Linked DNA regions of Astyanax mexicanus. The protein of the gene in region 1 purifies or fractionates together with the protein of each later gene. This does not show direct contact. Links are inferred from orthologs where the notes say so. Each region holds a gene or a part of one and is shown on either strand. Other genes may lie near its edges. The genes, in order: srfb, myocd and mrtfab.

Region 1 (7,440 bases):
TGTACTTTGTGTACATTTGTGCTGCTGTATTAAAATTGCTGATAAACATTTACAAAGGAATGTAACACTTGTTTACAGAAGCTTACAAAATGATTATTAAAATTCCATTTGATATATTGGTCAAATCTTAGCATCTCTGCATCTATAAGATAAAGATTATTAACAAAAACAATGGAAAGTTTAAACTTATTCTATACCATAAACATAACAAGAGTACTGCAACACTTCAACAGTTTTTACTTAAAATCTACTTTTACTTACAATCTTATTACTATCAGCACATCCAATACAAGGGACTTACATTTTAAAGTGTCTTTATTCATTCAGTATGCAAAGTGCTCTTGAGAAACAGCCATAGTAAAAGGCAGGAGATCTGGTAGAGGGCTAAGTGGTGGTTTAATATAATTTATTAATAATAATAATAATAATAATAATAATAATAATAATAATAATAATAACATTTCTATAGCCTACTCTTGAGAAAGGGGTTGCATGCCCACTGGGCCATGCTTCTCACACGTGGCCCACATGTGGATTTAAAAAAATCTTAATTAGACAGGCAAATGAATGATTAAACAAAATTGTGTTCTTTTTTCTATGTATGCATTTTACTGTTTTAGCTATTGCCTATTCTAAATAACTTCCACTAATTTCACTGCACTCACTGTACCATTCCATGGTATATGTACTGATGTAGACTGAGCAAGTTTCTTGTTTATAGTGTAATACACTTGAAGGAGTGTCCAATCACAGATCAGTCCCCTGACCCATACCAGGCCTATGGGAAAGAAAGCAGATGTGGAGTTATCTTCAGTGTATTGGTACTGAGCCAATGACCTGTTACAGTGAGCCTGCACAGGTCACCTGCAATATACTGAAATATGGCCTTCAATTTCCCTTGTTTCTTAAAGCCCTAGAGCTTTATTTTTCTTAGAAGTAAGTAACTGTGTATGGATTAATGTTCTAACAGGCTAGTCAGAGACTAAACTCCAGCCATACCTTGCCAAAGCACATACGAGGAACAATGCAATGGCAACTATTCCGAAATTGCATTCTGAAATATTTGGGTTAAGCTCCATTGATGAAGGATACTCTTCATGTAGGCCAAACCCTGAGCGTGTGTGTGTTTTTTTGAAGAAGGGTGGCGGTGGTCAGAAATAGAGAATGTCAGTTGCTCTAATCTATTTAAAGCTCACAGCCAGTGGGGTCTGTTGTGACTTCCAGTCACCATGTGCCAGAGGAGAGGACATGCAATACTGCAGTCCTCATTACAGCAGAAAGCGAGGGAGAGAGAGAAAACATTAGAGATGAGAAAAATTGCAGTGGAATGACAAAAGTCCAAAAGTCACTTTCTTTAAGACAGTTTGTTTACATCCATAGTTATATACAGAGGTTATATGAATGAATTGAGCAGTTTTTGGGGCATTTTGTTATGCATTATTGTTTGGGCACTGCTACTTCAAGCACATGTGGAGCTCACATGGGTGAAAGGCGGGACAGGTGGGTTTTAGGTAGGCATGGGGTGGTTTGTATTGCATGTGGTTTTACAGGGACCCCGTTGAGCTTCCCATATGAGCCAAATCATTACTGCCCACTTTAGACTTAGTCTTACATGGGTCTCAACTTTGACCCTGATGGGGCCCAACACTGACATTTATATGTGGGACCAACATGAAACCCATAAACCAAAGTTTCTGGTTTACAGTTGGGATATTTCCCTACCCATTCAGGCCCCACGTGTGCGTGTTATCCGTGATCCCAGGTGAATGATGTAGGTTATTATGTATTAAAATTAAACAACACTCCTAGTAGAACTTGCACTGATGTTGGGTGAGTTACTTACTAAATAAAGACATTCGGTGTGTAAATGGGGAAACTGTCCAAACAGAAAAGCTCACCTTTTTCATGATGCCCGTCTTTCTTTTGCTGAAAGTTGTGTATCGCCGCAACTTGTTGTCTATGAACTCCATCTTAATCTTAACGCGTCCACGTGTTTTCTTGCCTGGCTTTGCTCCAGCAACTCCGCCGGCCACCACACCGTAACCCCCCGGGGGCACGCCAGCCTCCTGGCCGGGCATGGCACTTTCCATTTCGGCCCTTTCCCGCTTCACCCCCCTCCGGCTGTCTCCAGCCATGGGTTCGTCGTCGTCCCCAGAATCGGAGTCCGCGTCGGAGGCGCTGCACCCCTGTGGACCCCCTTCTTTATCCCGGTCAAACCGACCGGGGATCCCCACTAACCCTGCGCCCAGAGCCCCTAAGCCCACCTGTGCGCTGAGCCCGCCGCCACCGCCGTTCCCGGCTCTGACGCCGCCTCTCCCGGGCCCGTTTCCCCCCAGCATTCCCACGGGAGCCCCTCCGAATGCAGCGACGTTCACCCCGGCTACAGTCTGAGCGCCTGTCCGCGCGAGTCCCGGCCGAAGCCCGCTGCTGCCCACCACCACAGCCCCGTGTACCACCGCCGCGCTGTTCCCTGACGCTGACCCGTTTCCACTCAACGCCGAGCCAGCCTGGCTGGATAACATCCTACACCGGGGGAAAGAAACACCGCTACCGAACGCTACAGCTACCAGAACCCCAGTCAGTCAGTCTGCGGTGGGCGAGTGTGTGGTCAAGCCGTACTGCGGGCACATTCAACACAAACCCAAACAAACACACGCAGCGCAGCAGCAGCACAGCCCCTCACTCTCTCGGAATGAGCCGGGAAAGCCTGAGTGACTGCCGGAGCGAAGTTTCCAAACTGATGCTGCCCCTCCAAACCCCCTCAACCCGCTACAGCCTCGCGCCGCTCTCACCCCCCCGCTTTCCACAACTCACCGCGCACTCTCTCTAAAAGGAAAACACGAAGCGCGCCCCCGCGATTAATCCGCCATGTCATGTAGTTCACACCGCAAACCTGTAAAATGTCGACCGCGGGCCGCTTAAACACACCACCCTCACAGGCCTGTCCCACCGCCCCTAAAAACACACGTTCTTACGCAAAACCGTAAACGTTTATGCATTTATTTCTCTAATATTATTCTCCGGCTGTGGAAGAATCTGTCCGTGCAGAGCTATCGGATCTACTTTCCTCCATATAAAGAGATACAACGCTTCCTTATAAGGAGTTCTCTCTCCTTATTTGGCGAGTCACAGTGACGCCCTCCGATTGGTCCGTGAGGGTAAGTCTCAGCACGCCATTGGTCAAAGCGCCTTGCTCATTTGAATACATACCAAAACGGTTGCGCTCACGGCGACGTCATCGAGGAGGCAGAGGGAGGGAGACCCCACTTACTCTGCTGGGCATAAATTATTTTGGAATATGAATGACACACACGTGCAGTGTGAAGTAAATAAGCTCATCCAGAGAACAAAATTGCAATTTCTAACAATTTAACACACAAGTATTTTTTGTAACCCCCATGCCAATATAATAAAGACAATTTTCAGCAAGTTCATTTTATGGGTCTTTTTTTTAATAACTAGGCCTGCCACAATAATTGTTGTGGACAATATATTGTCCCAGACGTTATAACGAGAAACAACATTACTGACATTTTAAGACAATTGAAATCTCACTGCCATAATGATAATATAATAGAATAACACAGCAATACGACAAAAAATGTCATTTAAATCATAGTTTGGAAAATATATACTTTTTTCAGTCACAGTTATTGAAGCATTGGTCATTGAATTACAATACTATTTTATAGGTCAACAAACACAAATAAACGATACACCATTGTCAAAGGTTTTGTCCATTTATTGAACAATAAGTCAATGATGTATTGTTGTGACAGGCCTACTAACAACCACTTAATTGTATATGTGAAGTGCATCTGTGATTTTGAATAGCCACTAAAGATTATTTAAACTCACGAATAGGCAAAAATATATTATAGTAATATATTGTAACTTTTTATTAATTGTTTATTTAGTATGCTTAGTCACCAATTACAGTACCAGTCAAATGTTTGGACTTTCTCATTTAATGTTTTTCTTTATTTGTATTATTTTCTACATTGTAGATTAAAATTGAAGACATCAAATCTATAAAGGAACACATATGCAATTATGATAATTATTATTATTATTATTATTATTATTATTATTATTATTATTATTATTATTATTATTCTCACAGTCCACTTAATGGGGTACAACCTGGAATGGGAACTGTCTACTACCCAATTGCGTGTGTGTTCCTTCATAGTTTAAGTCTTTAATATTAATCTTCAATGTAGTAAATAATGTTAATAAAGAACAAATATTAATGAGAATGCTTGGTTCTGGTTCTGTATATATTACCCATTTTTTAATAATCAGTTATATACATTTGGTAGGTATTAGATTGCACTTTCTGAAGCCAACATCAGGCCAACATAAGCTGACCATCAAACAGGTTTACAGCCAAAGTAAGCACACAGTCAAACACCGATTGACACCCGTCTATAGTTCATCAATAATGATAAACCCAATGATAAAGCCAACATAGGCCCACCATTAAACACACCGGATGACACAAGCCCACTTATCACACCCAAATTCACACCAATGTATGTTCACCATCAAGCACTAGTTGGCACCTATCATCACGCCACCTATCATCACGCCTACCATGATACATTGGTTGACACCCAATATCACACTTAAGTTGGTCCACCATTAAGCACCAATTGACATCTAACATCAGGCCAAAACGTACCTGGCCCAACATGATTTGCAAACATAACATGCTATCTGTGCACTTTCACAACCTTTGACACAACTCCAATAGACTACAGCAGTAGTGCATCTAGTTCCCATGGTAACTGTTATAAAGATGCAGTAGGTTAAGATAACAGCTACAAAAGTGGAGTGCAAAATTCATGGAATACTTGATTAAGAGACTTGATTTAGTGCTGTAAATTAATGTATATCTTTTTGCCTCTCAAAACAAAAGAAAAACAAAAAAACTCACTCAAAACCCCTATTTTGAATGTGAAGTGACAGGGCAGGCTCGGTGTAAAGCAGACCAAAACATCTTGTAATGGCCTATACTGGACTCATTTTATCACCACTCATTAAATTTTTATCCAACACTTATAAATAACCACAACAATTATATACCTACTTAAGTCATTAGCCCACATTAGAATACTAACAAGCTTGTGCAGCAGTGAGTAAACAAGCAAATCACCCTGACATTTATTTTAATTGATTGAAGGCAATTTTCATACTGGAGGGGTTCATTAAAGATGCACTAGACTGGAAAACTGTATTTACCTAAAAACAAAGCTATGCTACTCTGTGTCTACTCTCTGTGGCTCCAGTGTGCTGTAAACCTGCCAATTAAAGCAGAACTCATCTTTTTTTTTTGAGTCCTCTGAAAAAAGAAAATCAGTGTGACTAATTTTGAGAAAAGAACAGGGTTTTAATGGCCATTTAAACCACATCTGAGCATGTTTCATCCCAAACAAAGACATATATTTAGCTACTATTTTTACATCAAATAACAAATTAACATACATAAAAAATTAATCCATGGCAGATTTAATGTTCTTAGCATTGAGGCATCCCTGCTGAACAATTCTGCTAACGATCAGGGTGTGTTTGCTGAACTGAAAAGCTGATCAGACAGGTAAAACATTCACTATGATAATTAACAAGGTGGTAATTCAGCATTTGATCAGCACAGTGTATGATGCCTTTGATTTTGGTCAGGGATATACAGTTAGACAACCAGAAAGAGCAAGCTTAACTATGCTGGTTGACCAAGACTAAGACCATCAGATTGTAGACCAGTTAACCATCAACTTTAAACAAAAATACACCCTATGCTGGTCAGGATCTAAGCTGGTCATCTTGCATAACTAAAAAAATAATATGCTGCTATTAAAAAAAAAAAAAAAAACTAAAATTTGTCAGATAAGTGACAAGATTTTATGACCCCCAAAAACATGATGGTTAAATATATAGCTTATATGTGCGTCTTAATGTAATCTATATTTTATTAACATTTATTCCACATGCAAAAGCCTTAAAAGGAAGCTTGAACATCCTTCTGATTGTACACCCTGCACGGTGAAATAAAAGAAAGGCAAGGCCGCATTAACAGAGAACAAAAGACAGACCTAACACAAAATGCATTATTCAGTCTTAGGTGAGAGGGAGGAACACTTGAAGTGCTGAGTGTGAGAGCACACGGCTGGATGTCTTTTCACGGCAAAAGACGTAGGACTCACGAAGCGCTCCCACATCAGCAAAGAACACCTACTGATGACTCAGCTGACAGCAGGAGTAAAAGCTGTCGAGCACACGACCAGCCTTTTATGGTGGGAACCAGATAATGTCACATGAAGAGAGCCTGTGATATAAGTGCAATAATAATGAAGGAGGTCCTGCCTCCAGCTGCAGCTAGTATGAAACCGGCTATGTCCAAATAAAGCACTAAAAGCATTCCACAGTAAAGCATTAGTGATTTTGGAGACTTGACAAAAACAACTGAATAGTTGATTAGGAGCCTAATATCCACTGATTAGCCTAACAACCCCGGACAGGACACAATCCAGCTCACACAATATAGCGCCCTCTACTGATCAGATCAGAGCAATGCAGCAGTCATGTATCTGGTTCTAGTGTTCAAATCCAAATTGTTTTACCAGTAATAGAGATATAGGGATGGACTGGGACCATAAAACAGCACTGGACTTTTTCCTCTAAATAGGCTCGCCAGCTGTCTGGGGGCTATTGTTGTTTTATACACACACACACACACACACACACAGTATGTGATGGGATCTAGGAAAACCCTTCACACTGCGCACTGGCACATGTCTGGAAAAGAGAGAAAATGTGTTGAAAGGCAATATTTTTAGTTAATAAATTGGGTTTTTATTAAATTGTTACTCAATAACATCATGTCTGTCATCTAATCGAAATATGCTTGATTGACATTAAAAAGTTGAGTTTTTTTTATTATTGTTATTCTTTTTGGAACACCAGACCTTAAACCTGTTTTTAAACCTCAATTACATTTTTTAAACTCTTGTGATCAGCCAACTTTGGTTGATTACAGCATTTGATACAAAAAAGACAAAAAAAAAAAAACGATTTGAAATGAGCTTGAAATAGGGTGTCAGGTGAAATCAGAATTTCTCTTAGGTCTATTCCGTGTAAAAATTAGCCTGCTTTATATGTTTTTCATTTGTTTTATATGCTGCACTTTTGTTAGGGTATATATTAACCCTCAAAAACAGGCCTAAAACTAGTCTATTAAGAAATTACACAAACAACGCTGCTGTGATTGATTATGATACAAATCAACTTTAATAAAAATCAGCCTTTTAACAACAGCGAAGTTTGTTTGTACCGGTAGCTTATTTAGAATTAAGCAAATTAGAAAGAGAAGATAAAGATACATTAGTGGTGGGCGGTACAATAGAAAAACAACAGCAAACAGCAATTATTCACTCAGAAAAG
Region 2 (6,956 bases), on another chromosome or scaffold:
CTTTTACATGTAGGTAAAAAAAACTAAAACAAAACAGAAATGTGAAAAGAAGATTACATTACACTACATTACACTAACATTCACTGAAACACTTTTGCATTCTTCATACACCTCTTCTGCATTCTTTTAGCGCACGTAAACACACGTATCACGTGTACACTGATGTTGCCTGTAGTGTATTCTTTCACCAAAATATTTACTGCATATCTGGAGGAAGCAAAGTTGTCGTCCGACCACAAACAGATGTTTAATGAGCTTACTGCTTATCCAAGCAAATGATTTCAAACCACAAAGAGAAAAATACTTATTCCTCACGTTAACAACTACGTCAAACTCTACACAATCCAGAAATCGCATTTGCATAAACGTAACATCAGCCAGGATCCTAATGCTGGACACAGACAGGCCACCAGACGGTCAGCTGGACGGTGTGGAGAAAGAACATGACCACGCTCAGCCATGCAAATGTAAAATGCTCTAAAGCATTTCTTTACAGAGGTGAAATTATTTGATATGAACTCAATCCGTGTTAATCCCCGTCATAAAAGCAACTGCCATGCGGAATCTATAATGACAACTTAAAGCATTAAGTGCACAGCAGCAGAATAAACTTATTACACTCTGCTGATGTTTGCTAGACTTATCTTCATCTCACCTCTTCCCTTTGATGCTTTAGTCCAGGTTTCCTGACCACAAAACCTAGCATCTCCAACAAAGTACATTAGGTACATGCCCTTATGAGGCACAAGGCTTTTGTTGATAAAAATATAATAATAAAGAAAACTGTAATCAGATTAGAGGACTTAGGCTTTGTTCATATTACAAGCCACATTGGACAAATCCGATTTTTTGCTCAGATTGGATTTGGCTATCTGGACGGTTCACATTCACAAATGTGAGGCGTTTCAGAGACAGATTTGTTCACATTACACACAGATACAGGTCACTTTCATGTGCACACATATACGTGTATAAACGTTGCCTTCTTCACCACCAACAAAAAAAAATACACATTTGAGAGACGACTTGTAGCTTTATAAGGTGAAATGGATGTGTTAGCAGCTCATATGTGGAGCACCTTTTGTTGGAGTGGAGAGAAAACAGCTGGTCTGAAGTGAATACTCAGGTTGAGGAGGTGAGGTGAGGCCAGGTGGTTTGCTTTTGCTGTTTTTTGCAGCTATAGCTGCACAGCTGCACCAAGAGATGTGTAGATACGAGAGAAGCACATAGAGCATGCGTAAAAGCAAAAAGACACATGCATTCCAATTTGACCGTTTACATTCATGTTGCATGTCCATGTTTTCGATATGTATCCGACTTAAGACCACATATGAAAGTGCCTAAAAAAATAAACATAAATAAATCGGATTTGGCACGTTCACACAGCCATGAAAAAATCAGATCTGAGCCACATTGAGCAAAAAATTTGATTTGATTCACTTCAGCCTGATAATGTGAATGTAGCATAAGTCTTAAAAGGCTGACAGCATCAGTTAAAAGTATAGATCTCCTCTTGGAGACCACAGTCTGACACCAATATTTACATGTAAACTAATAATTAAAAAACAATATTGTGTTTTTCTTTTAAATAGATACAGTATTGCCAAACAAAATATCATCATATATATATGGTATGATACACTGTTTGTTACAACCATAAGAGGTGGGAGAAGCATATATAGACTGTATTTAAGTGAAGGTATGGACACAAATAATAAACTGCTTAATTAAAGCTAAAATAGCCAAAATATAATTCAGTAAAGCTTAAACAGTATATGCGTGTACCTATGCTCAATCCAGAATCACTTATTTTTACTACAACTAACCCTTGTACAAATCTTTGCAAAGATCTGTAAACATACGTTAAAAAAGTGCATGTTTAAATATGAAAAATGAAGTCAAAATGATATTGTTAATGTGCTACATGATCTAAACTAATGAGTCCACCTGGTCTTAAACCTGCACAACAAACACCTTTAATAACCCTTAAGAAATTAATTCAAAATTTGCTCCAGAAACTTTGTCTGAATAAATGCGTATTTTAAAAACACAGAAATCCATACATGATTTTTAAAATGCAAAAAAAAAAAAAAAAAAAAAAAAAAGAAATACAAAAATATCTCGTCATTTGAGATTTGTTCTAAATATTTAAAGATCTAAATTATTATGATTTTTTATTGTTCAAATCTATATTTAAAAATGCTCTAGAATAAAAAGGTTGGGTAAATGAGTAAATCAAACTATCAGCTATCATTACAATGACCGGATAAGGAATGACAGCCAATCAGAGCAATCGCTGCTGCAGGTATCTATGCTGAGGGAAAAAGCGAGGCTATGCTAGGCCTAGGCTAGGATTTGTTATGCAGCCCATTAAAGTTTGCATTGATGGGAACCAGTAAAGGAAAATGAGCATGTAGCACGTCTCTCACGATAATTACAGTACCGATTTATCATACAATATATGGAAATAACCTTGACTTCTGTATGTCAAATTATGTTTTTTCTTAGCAATGATAGTCTATTAACACAAACAATGGGTCGATTTCAATGTCAGATTTTGTAACAAATTAATGCTATTATATTAGAATTTTAATAATTGTAATACAACTGTCTCAAAATCTCAATAATATCGTTTATCTCAATTATTTTTTGTACTTTATTACCTACAAACAAATACAGTTATTATGTCAGAACTACTTACCATTTCTAAATCAAAGAACAACATAAAATATTCAACATTAAAGACAATCTTAAGCAAGAAAGCAGAACTAGGCTAACAGAGTTAGCGGAGTGATACAAATGTCCTACCTGAGAAGTTTCATCTAAACTGGGCAGTGCTGAGGATCATCTCTTCACAGATAGACGCTCAGGGAGTTGGTGTGTTGCTTTTTGGTTGAAGGTCTGATAACGCCTTTCTTCTTCAACTCGTTTTTCACCCAGACTGAGGTTACTGAGACTCCCAGTTGTTCTCGGACACGTCAGAGCAGCAAATGTTTTCAGCGCTTTTGTTGGAAGGACTTCAGCCATGTCAGTGTGAATCCCTCATTATTAAGAAATCATCTGGGAAATTATTGTAGTGGATGAAGAATCATTTCTGTAGAAAGAGATAAGAGAAAACAATGTTTTAATATCTTAAGGAATAATCTGAATACTGTACACCTCTGGAAAACCTTTTATGTTTTGAAACAATAGCAATATTTATCTTCCACAGTATCAATTCTGACTATTCTGACCATATTAGTGTTTTCCTGTTATCTATTTCTATTATACACACACATGCTGCTTCCCTTTAGTATATTGGGTCCACCCTCTTTGCTCATCCTGCAGTTTAGAATGTAATAGAGCTTTCAGAGGAAATCTTCAGATCTTTACTGAAGCATAAAACCATAAAAAATACACAAAGTAAAATGATACAACAATCAGCCGTTACGATAAATTTAAGTTTAAGGTGCATTTATTTTATTTTTTTTACTTTTTTACTTTTTTTAAGTTTAACTTTAAGGGAATATGCATTATCAGTTACATTAATACAAAAAATAGCAAGATGAAATTACTGAAATTTGTATTGATTGCGAAAATATAAATATAGATGTTTATATAATACATACGTTTAATTAATTTATAAAATACATAGTTTAATTTAACAGTTTCTCCACAAAATTGCAGATAGAAGCACTCATAGCTTTGTTGTGCACCATTTAAAAATAAGTGAAATACATCCAGCAAAAACCAAGCACATGTTTGGAGACCCCTAAAAAATGATGAGTTTCTTTGATTTTACCAAATTGAAAACCTTTGGAATATAATCAAGAGGAAGGTGGATGATCACAAGCCATCAAACCAAGCTGAACTGCTTGAATTTTTACACCAGGAGTGGCATAAAATTATCCAAAAGCAGTGTGTAAGACTGGTGGAGGAGAACACGCCATGATGCATGAAAACTGTGATTAAAACAGGGTTATTGATTTCTGAACTCTTAAAACTTTATGAATATTAACTTGTTTTCTTTGCATTAATTGAGATCTGCTAATATTTTCTGCAAATAAATGCTCTAAATGACACTATTTTTAGAGAAATGATGTCCGTAGTTTATTGAATAAAACAACAATGTTCAATTTACTCAAACATATACCTATAAATAGAAAAATCAGAAAAACTGATTCAGAAACTGAAGTGGTCTCTTCATTTTTTTCAGAGCTCTACAATAAAAATATCATATTTTTTTGTATCCTCAAATCCCCAAAACTTACCAACTGTTGCTTTAAAGTGCATCTTCATTGTCTATTGTCTATAGTATGTTTGCAAAACTCACAGAAAGGTTGTTTTTTAGATACATTTAAATTGTTGGGGTAATGATGTGGTCTGAATTTTACAGTTAAAACTACATTATTTTTAAGCTACTGGTATATCTGCAGCTAGTGCACATCTGCATGCGCAGTATTGTCAGAATAATCCTAGCTTTGTTTTTAGTCCTAACTTGGCACTTTTGTATATTTCCAGATATGTTCTCTGCATTGCAGAAATCATAGAGCCCGTCTTATTGTAAAGCCTGGCGTTTCAGATTCAGCGGCTGTGTTCTCATGCCTTCCCAGACACACGTTTAAGTTCAGATGAGTAATTGTAATGCACTGTCTGGCTCTGTGACATTTCTGTTACACAGGCTTTACATGCTAAACAAACTGTTGTAGTCTGCAAGTCTTAAATCAACAGAGCTGCACACAATGCACACTCAAGCTCAACATGGGTAAAACAGATGTTTAGCCATTTGCATAAGCAGAATGATACATCATTACCACAGCGCTGAAGGGAAAAGGCAGAACTTTCCAAACACGATTTAAGAACAAAATGTGCATGACTGATTGACCACTGATAATGCCAAAACGCTCTAAACAGATATACAAACAAACTGTAGCGTGCAACTTACTACGAGCGGAACCTCGCTGGCCAGGAGAGTCTGCAGTTTGTGGGTTATCTTAGCCTGAATACTGGACCAGGGGCATGATGCACGCATTTGTGTGTGTGTGTTTTGTTTGAGTGTATTTTGTGTGAGAGTGTGTGTGTATTTGTGTGTGCATTCAGAGTGTATGATAAAGAGGAAATGTCAGTGTTGTGTGTGACAGAGTGAAGAGGGAAGTGGTAAAATGACACTCGCTTCATCACTGTCAGAGTGCAGGCTTTACAGATGCATGCAAATAAACACAAATACACTTTACTTGCTTTAAATATTAATTAAAACAGTCAATACAGGTGCCCATATATTTCACTGTGAAAAGAAAACAAATGCTGATAATGAAGGTTCACGCATTCAATATAAAATGTAGCTAAAAGATTGTTGCTTATGTGGGCCAATAAGCTAATTAATTGAACAGTTTGCTAGTCTGGTCCATGTCTTTAGTCTGTATGGTCTTAGTGGGAAATGTAATTGTATGACTGTAGACATACAGAAAGATTTTTAACAACCTGGTAGGTTGAAGGGCAGGGACGCCTTCAGAGAGAGAGAGTGAGAGAGAGAGAGAGAGAGAGAGAGAGAGAGAGAGAGAGACTTCCTCCTATACTGCCCACCAGACCTGTACATTCAGCAGTTTAATAAGATCGATCCTGCATTCCCATCTCTATCCGATAGTGATAAACTCGGAGTTGTTCTCAGAGAAGAAGCTTTTACAGCTATTACAACTATTTACAGGGTTATAGATTCTTATTAATTTATAATTTTTTTATATCTATGTAACTGTATGACGTACTTTTATATGTAAGGTATGTTAACGTATATATTTTAAATATATTGTTATTTTTTACCTTTTGCATATTAAGTATTTGTTTCATTGCTTTGACAGAAAAATGCAAATAAAGCTATTTTAAATAAAAAAAAAAATTGAGAGAGATAAGAGAGAGAGAGAGAGAGAGAGAGAGAGAGAGAGAGAGAGAGAGAGAGAGAGAGAGAGAGAGAGAGAGATGTAGGTATAAAAACAGCATGTGGTTTTCCATTGCCTTGTTGAAAAAGCATGAACATCCCCGGTATCTATATCTTAAAGATCTCAATGTACTTTTCTGCATCTCAGAATACTATATACTTGATGTCACCTCTAGAAATGGTTAGAATAAGTTTTAACCATTAGATTCATAAATAATTGTACTCTTCACTCTTTCATATGTAGATCAAAAAATATTTATAATATTGTTAAATAATTCTGCATAAAATTGTATAGGAATTAAATGCAGGTCATTTTTGTCCCACCTATGGAAGCTTGGTAATAAAAAATCTAGTGGCATGATATCAATAATATGTTGTTAAGGAATACCTGGAATATTAAATGAAAATAACTTTTCAATATGATTCATAGTCATTATTCACAATAAAACAACTTGTGCAATTAATGGTTTAGCAGCATTTGTTAATGTAGATCTATATTTTAGTGCTTGATAAATGTTTGTATGGTGGCCAAGAAAGCCCAAACGCACTGCAAATTGAAAAGAGCTGCAAGAGCACAAAATATATCCATCAAATTGACAACACAGGCACTGCAAATACAGCCAAAACACAACAGAAGTGCGACACAACACAACAGAATTTCTCCAGGGGGCCCTAAAAGTAACATCTCGGATTTCGCTGTGTGTTCAGAGGACTATTAGTGGCAACCGAACTTCTGAAAAATAAGTTATGTTTGTTAACAGTGATTACCACGGTTCTATGCATAGTAAAAGGGCTGCTTCACTGAATGTTAATAAAGATGTAGTTTAGGAGTACAGCATCTTTTAGGGTCCCCTCGGGAAATTCTGTTGTGTTGTGTCTCACTTCCATTTTGTTTTGGCTGTATTTCTCTGTTTGCAGTGCCTGCGTTGTCAATTTGATGGATGTATTTTGTGCAGCTCTTTTCAATTTGCAGTGCGTATGATCCTTCTTGGCCACCGTACAAACATTTGTCAAGCACTAAAATATAGAGTTACATTAACAAATG
Region 3 (7,192 bases), on another chromosome or scaffold:
GACATTCCCACATTGATAGATGTTTGTGCATCTATTCTGTTAATTTGTCAAGCTGCTGGTGCTCTGGCAAATTCTGACTCCCCTTTATATGCATGTGCTTCACACAGTGCTGAACCAGTGTTCTGTTGCTTTTCGTGATGGAAAACTAAATAACAATAGTTATTAATAAGCAGAAACTACAGACATAAACAGACAATGACATTTCCACCTTGTATTACTAAATTAAGACAAACAGAATCGGCTTCCGGTGAAAAATAAATGCAACACAAAGTGCATGGTGTGACGAGGTTTAAATGTCAAAATGTTATATATTTTTTTATAAACCATATCTGACTCAGCTTCGCAAAAGCCACTTGTTAAAAAAAATGTGTAAAAAAAAATAACGTGCTAAGTGTGGGAAGTCAAGTAAAAATTTTAACACCACTAAATTGACACCCTTGTGGGAACAGCAGAATATATATATATATATATATATATATATATATATATATATATATATATATATATATATATATATATATATATATATGACGGTACATCACATGACCTCACATTCAAAGTGATAACTAAAGTCGGTCATTTCATTGTAAAGCTTATTATGTGTGTTTGTATTTTAGTAATTCATCACAATTCTGTTGGTGCTGATTTGCATGTTCAATCATTTTTTTTATTATGCCATATTTATGAGACCAATCAATGCAAATGTAATGTACCTGTGGGCTCACCTAGTTCATGATTTGCTTGTTTACCTGGGAAATCAGTACGGTAGTGACCATTATAATTCATAATACACCCATTGCATTACTCATATTGGCAAACAGTAAGGTGCGCAAACATTGTTAACAGAAGTATAAGGACACTTATTTATTGTTAGGGCTGCGTATCGTAAAATTCTTTGATACTGATACTCAAACAAAACTTTTTCTAAATTGAAACCAAAAATACAAAAAGCAATAATTATTCTCACACAGTGTATTTATTAAATAGCCTTTAGGAATAATATCATTCTAATACTGTCACCAGGAGAGGCTCAATCTTTCTGGATCTTGTTTGAACGAAAACAATAAGTATGTTTGTGGTGTTTTATTAAGAACAAAAACAACAGCCTTACTTTTTTAACTGCTAAAACTATAAATCTTTTCTCTAAGCATATGGCTGGATGCATTTTAGAATTAAAGAGTTGTTATTAAGAAATATCAGCATCAGATTCAATTAATTTTTTTAATGGTGTCAATCACTTAAAAACAATTCTAATCACTATTCATTTATTTAAATGCTGGTAGTTCCCTGTTTTTTTGGGAGGGAGACAGTAATAATAGTGTAGCGTGGTTTACTTCTGACTTACTTCTGACTTACTGTATTATATTATCTCAGTGTAGAGTGCTAGAGAGAGAGAGGGAGACGGAGCGAGTGCGAGCGAGAGACACCGCGAGTGCGAGCGAGAGACACCGCGAGTGCGAGCGAGAGACACCGCGAGTGCGAGCGAGAGAGTAAAACATAGATGTAAAGAGTGTATCCTGCTTTTTTTGGACTAACAGTCAATACTATCTAGGGAAGTCTTCCTACTGCATTTTGGAGCATTGCTGTGAGGATTTGTTTGCATTCACTGACGAAAGCTTTAGTGAGGTCAGATTGTTGGATGCACCTCTAGCCCATGTCTGGCATTAGGCATGGTGTGAATAAAAAAAACATGATTATCTACATGTTTTTCAGTAACACTTTTTGGCAACACATCTTTACAGTGAATAGAGAAGTTGTGCATGTGAACATTCGTGTTAGCAATGGAAGCAACATAAAGTAGCGGAAAGCATTAATTCATAGGGGTGTCAACAAACTTTGAGACATGGTGTGTGTACTTACAGTCTGTCATTTCATAGTTATTCATCTGTAAATGTCTGGGTCGAGTGGACTTTGGTCTTGTTTCCTCTGTAGGACTCTGTTTGGTTAAGGTGGCGTCTTGAAGCTTGTGGGTGGATGTGGGCTTATTTGTAGGCGGTGTTGCACTTCCTGTGGGGTCACTCTTGCATCTAAAAATGCCTGTGAGCTTTCGATTTTTTTTGTTAGCATGAAACCATTTCAGCAAAACTATTGCTGCTTTATGTTTAATTCATACTAAATAAAAAGCTCTCCTTCGCTGAGAATCCACAGTAAGTTGTAACAAATGTGGTTCTATCAGGCTACTATCAGCTTTGGATCTAATGGTTGTACAAAAGAACTGGCTTTCACAGGTTTCCTATGTCTTTGCTTCTTTTCATGTTTACTTCCATTCATTGGAAGGTACCCATTTCAAAGTAATCTGGTTTTCTCAATTTCAGTTCATGTGTGGCAGGAAAGCACCTCAGGGTGTTCTGCCACTATGCAGAAGTGCAACTTATGATGATGAAAAATGAATGTCCATGATATGATACGTTCCTCTACCTGTCTATATTTCTGCAATTTGAAATGTCATTTTTTTTGTGTTTGTTGGTGCAAATGTTTGTGTCATCATAATTGTTGGTGCCTTAGTGCAGCGATATCTGTCAGTAATTCTATCCAGTGCCTGCACAGGTGAAGCTGAGCTGAATATAGAGCTTTTTGGCCAGCTGGCCTTACTATTTAAAACTGGGAGAGGACCCAAGAGGGGGGGCCAGGGTTGACCTCGCCAGCATTCTGCAAGAGCCACTCAGAGGATCGAGGTTAGGGTATACAAGTGAGCTTGTCAAAAGCTATAAATGTCCCCCCTAAACTCCTGTACCTTGCCCCCAACCAGATACAGAAAGGTCAAAGGAGTTTTCCATTCTTTTACCGACATCCTTTTTGTTAATCCTTTCTCATTTGTTGATGCATTAGTTTTAAAAGCTTTACCAAGGACCATTATCAGAGTGTGAGTTTTGTGAGCATGGCTAGCAATGGACTGCTTTGACAGGAAGGGGCCACCTGACTGACAACTGTTGTATTTGTTTGATTTGTCAGGACAGCTGACTGCCCAAATGGGTGCTATAATAAAATCAGAACCGGGTAAAAATACATGGTATGTGTTGACAAACATGTGAGGATGTTATCTCATAATAAACCAAACAATGCATAAAGGCATTGTTTGTATTCATGTATTCATGTATTCATTGCAGTCATAGTGTGAATGGTACATTTGGTCATATTTGCAAAGTATGGGTTGCAGCAGCAGCTCTGAAGGAGGTATCTTGGGTGTTTGTCAGGTTTTTTGTATTTATTATTATAAACTCCTATTTGTGTACATATGTATGAACATGTAGTTTAATACGCTTATCAGAGAAATCAGAGTACAATATTTAACGCCAGTAACTGGATATTCCTCTTAAGAGTACATCATTCAGACCATACAGTAAGTTTGCGAACACAGCAGAGCTAGCAAATTCTAACAAAAAGTAAATACAGATAGAGTTGGAAAAGCAAAGAAATCATGTACTGTAAATGAAAATGTGATCAAGTTTTAGCGCTAGGTAAGCATCTTCAGTTATAACAGCTGTTTTAACCCTTTTGGAATTACATAAACGTTTTAAAGTAATTCCACAATTCTATATAGTTCCAATGTAATTGGACAATTGACTGATTAACAGTTTTATAGTCAAATGTGACATTTTCCCTGGCTGAACAGGTTTTGATGCAAGTTCAGACCAAAGGCCTTAAAAAATGAAAACAAATAAAACCCACCATAATAGATATTATTTAGGCTTATAATTGTTGAAGTTTGCGATGCTTAATTTTTTATTTAAATGCAGAAGTTTTGCTTTGAGATGCGAACCACTTGTAATCCAAGACAGATAGTCAAGTTTATACTACTGTAAAACTAGCCTGTCCATCCTGACTGTATATTATGAGAAATAATCTAGGCCGAAAAAAGATCTCAGCCTATAAATGCATCTTGAAATATGAACAGGCCTTAAATATTTGAAACAGGAAATGTACTGTTTGATTTGTTTAGACTTTTTATATGCCTGTGCTGTTATTTTTTTTCTAGTAAATAATATGACCACATAAAGTTTCATTAATAGTTTTGGCCCTGGTCCTTGTATTTTGTATGCAACACTTGAGCGGGTGCTTTAGTTTGTGCTGCTGTAATGGAGCTGAGGGAGAGTGTGAGGGTCTGCAGATTGTAATGAGTGAACGAGTGGCAACAGCTGAGGCAGACAGTGCAGTCATTGGCACTCAGCAGCTCTTCGTCTGCCTGCCTCCGTGTGTGTGTGGGTGTGTGTTGGGAGAGAGAGGGGATGGTGCATGTTTGTCTTGCTTCAAGCACAGCACTAGTCCCATTCTCCCTGCTGCTGCTGCTCCTGCTGCTGGGTACCTTCACCAGTTTCCTGGATCTACGGGTTGAGGTTCCTTGTTCGTTTTGGAGATTTACCATTTACTCTACAGCTGCAGGAGAAAGAGAAAAGACAAAGGAGAAAAGAAGTGGAAGCAAGTAGAAGCGCACCTTTTGAGCAGACAGAAGGAGCGGAGGCTGTGTGCTCTTTATTGCGTGAACTTCGTAGGTGCTCAATTGAGGAAATATTGCTCTCCTTCTGAATAATTCCAGCCATTATGGAGAAGTACCACCTTTGATCATCTGCAAATGAGACCGATTTTCTAAGCTCAGAAAAAAAAACATCTGGGATACTACCTATAAGCCTTCGTGCTGAATTGAGACAATAACTTGGGATCATTATCTTATCTTCCTTCAGTCAGTTCTGGATTCAGTCATGCTGGACACCAACCATTGCCTTCACATTGATGCGTCCTCTTTCGAGGATCCACCAACCAGAGCTGATCGAGATAAGCAGCCTATGAGGCTGGACTATGACCGACATGCCTATCATAGCCTTAAAGAAGGTGGGCCCAAAGCATTACATCCACAACAAACATTCATTATTTGAGCAGGATCTAAATATGGATTAAGGCTGTCTATAGATAATAAGCCTGTCATATTAAACTGCATGGGATCATATGTTGGCTCACTCTTAATTCCTCTACTTCATTCATTCTTTCATTAGTTATCTTACAGTAACAATTTATATTGTCCACAATATTATGTGTGTGGACAATATAAATATAATATAAATAATTATATTATTGTTTTATGAGCATTTATGCCACTAAAATCATGATAATATAATAAATGTAATCACCATGTCTGCTCATTCATGTTAATAGGGTCTCATCGCTAAGAAAAACAATTTGGCAGATTTTAACTTTAGTTCATGGCCACATGTTGTAAGATAAATTAATAACATAAATATTGTGATGGGTCTACGTATGATTAATAAGAGGGCAATAATCCTGTAAAATACGTTGTTTATAACGACTAAACAGTTTCAGCTCAAAGCTGCCCTTTCCTAACACAGCATTTTCATTGGAGATTTTCCATTGAAAGGACAATCTAGTCTAGGACTAGGCTTAACTCCTTTCTGGGAAATCAATTTTAAGTAAATTTTGGCATGCTGACCCCGAGCTTGGTGGGTTTTAGGGATGATGTCTATCCTCTGATAGACACTTAAAAGTGTGGAACCAGGTTGGCCTTCAGGATGCACCCGGTGTAGGGTCTTTGGGGACAAGAGACATGTTTAATTGAACCCACCAACTGGTAGGCTCAGGGATTAACCCAGTTGGCCGCTGTGACTTGGAACTCTCCACTCTCCATCTCTTTAACTCAAAAGGGCAAGTTGCTGTAGATATTGAAGTACAGCACTCTCTGGCCTCCATTAACTCTGTACTTAGCTCTCCCGGTTCTTAATGTAAGCAGAGAGAGAGAGCTGGCGTTTAAGGTGTCTGTTTGATTTACAGTAATGCTCCCAGGTTCTCAGAGAGGTGTGGGGTGGGGGGGTTGTGTTTCCTCAGTGGTGCACTGGGGACAGAAATAGTGGTAAAGGGAGGTGGAGGGGGCGTTTTGAGTTTTCAAAGGCTGTAGTTAAAGTGGGAATGAGAGGAATTTAGATGACACAGAGTAACAGTGGAACCAACAAAAGCATTCACTTCACAAGGGAGAGTGGAAGAGGGGGCTGTGTATGAACCGGTTCAGAACGAGGTGAGAGGGTGGGATTCACATACCCGGAATTCCCATCCGTGCCAGTCAGTTGTGCTAAACATGTCCTTTGGCAAGTTTTGGCATGTCTGGCATTGTGTGCCACGTGTGGAAGTGTGCGTTTGTGTGGGTGTTTGTGTCTGCAAACACACAGTGGAGAGAGTGAATGGTGCATTTGCTCCATAAAGCCCAGCACTAATCCCCATACACTGTGCCCATGAAGGTCAGAACAGCTGACCAGTGAACCCTGCAGCACCAGGATGCCCATAATGATGTCATTTCTGCAGGGTGACAGGTGTGCTCTGACTGAGGATTTCACAAAGAGCAGCAGCAGCAGGCTTGCCAGAGCAAGGAAGACTGTGTTTTGTTGCTAGTCGACAACCAATGAAATGATGCTAACCTACCTACCAAGTATAGTTGGTCAAGAAAAGCATATTTGGTGTCCAAATTAGTTGCAGTGATGCTACAAAGCTAAATTAGAAAAATGAAAGTTACATAAAAATATACACAAGTATATCTACGCATTAAGTAAAGCATGATTGCATGATTAATCTCTTTGATCAGTCTGTTTCCGAGAGCAACACTGCTTCTAATGAATGCTCTTTAGTCTATTCTAAGACAGTCCTTAACGATGTGTTGGAGAACAAATGTGAGTCATACTCAATGTTGACCTGAGTTCAAAATATGACTATTCTGTGTAAGGAGGAAATGAGTTGAGCACATTTTAAAGACATACAAGCTGAGCAACACCATATGTTATACAATTACAAAACATTAAAATAAAACAGATTTTTTTTTTTAGTACTGAAGCTTACTACACATGATGACATTTTTCTGTCTGTGTGTAAACACACATCATTGTGTATAGGACTATCTTTGGATAGTCCAATAGCATTAATAAACACATGTCTAACTGCAAAATTCAGAACACAACAGGACCCCAACAATTTGTGCAACAGCTTTTCTCTGAGTTTTGCCGAAGTATTGCCCTTTCAAAAACATGAAATCTTTAAACACAAGGTGTGCGTTCAAGCAGGATTGTTTTGCAATTTGTGCAGACTTAGACATGCATGACAAATAAATACACATTATGGGTATAAATGTCTTAATTTTTTTGCTTAAAAAAATTGTAGTTGACTCCTGTTTCCATAGGACAAACATAAAATTTTTTTGTAA

The links.
Region 2: the proteins of srfb (region 1) and myocd purify together in Homo sapiens (affinity purification with western blotting; 3 studies listed by BioGRID and IntAct, with this or other methods). This does not show direct contact. The link is inferred for Astyanax mexicanus from reciprocal best matches to the Homo sapiens genes SRF and MYOCD.
Region 3: the proteins of srfb (region 1) and mrtfab purify together in Homo sapiens (affinity purification with western blotting; 4 studies listed by BioGRID and IntAct, with this or other methods). This does not show direct contact. The link is inferred for Astyanax mexicanus from reciprocal best matches to the Homo sapiens genes SRF and MRTFA.

The regions. Positions count from the first base shown.
Region 1 is NC_064414.1:39,389,174-39,396,613, reverse strand, and holds the start of srfb (serum response factor b), read right to left. Parts: upstream 3,015-7,440; 5' UTR 2,523-3,014; coding exon 1,899-2,522; intron 1-1,898. UniProt on the Homo sapiens protein: SRF is a transcription factor that binds to the serum response element (SRE), a short sequence of dyad symmetry located 300 bp to the 5' of the site of transcription initiation of some genes (such as FOS).
Region 2 is NC_064422.1:27,232,812-27,239,767, reverse strand, and holds the start of myocd (myocardin), read right to left. Parts: upstream 3,080-6,956; 5' UTR 2,809-3,079; intron 1-2,808. UniProt on the Homo sapiens protein: Smooth muscle cells (SM) and cardiac muscle cells-specific transcriptional factor which uses the canonical single or multiple CArG boxes DNA sequence. Acts as a cofactor of serum response factor (SRF) with the potential to modulate SRF-target genes.
Region 3 is NC_064422.1:28,595,387-28,602,578, reverse strand, and holds the start of mrtfab (myocardin related transcription factor Ab), read left to right. Parts: upstream 1-4,160; 5' UTR 4,161-4,697; coding exon 4,698-4,827; intron 4,828-7,192. UniProt on the Homo sapiens protein: Transcription coactivator that associates with the serum response factor (SRF) transcription factor to control expression of genes regulating the cytoskeleton during development, morphogenesis and cell migration.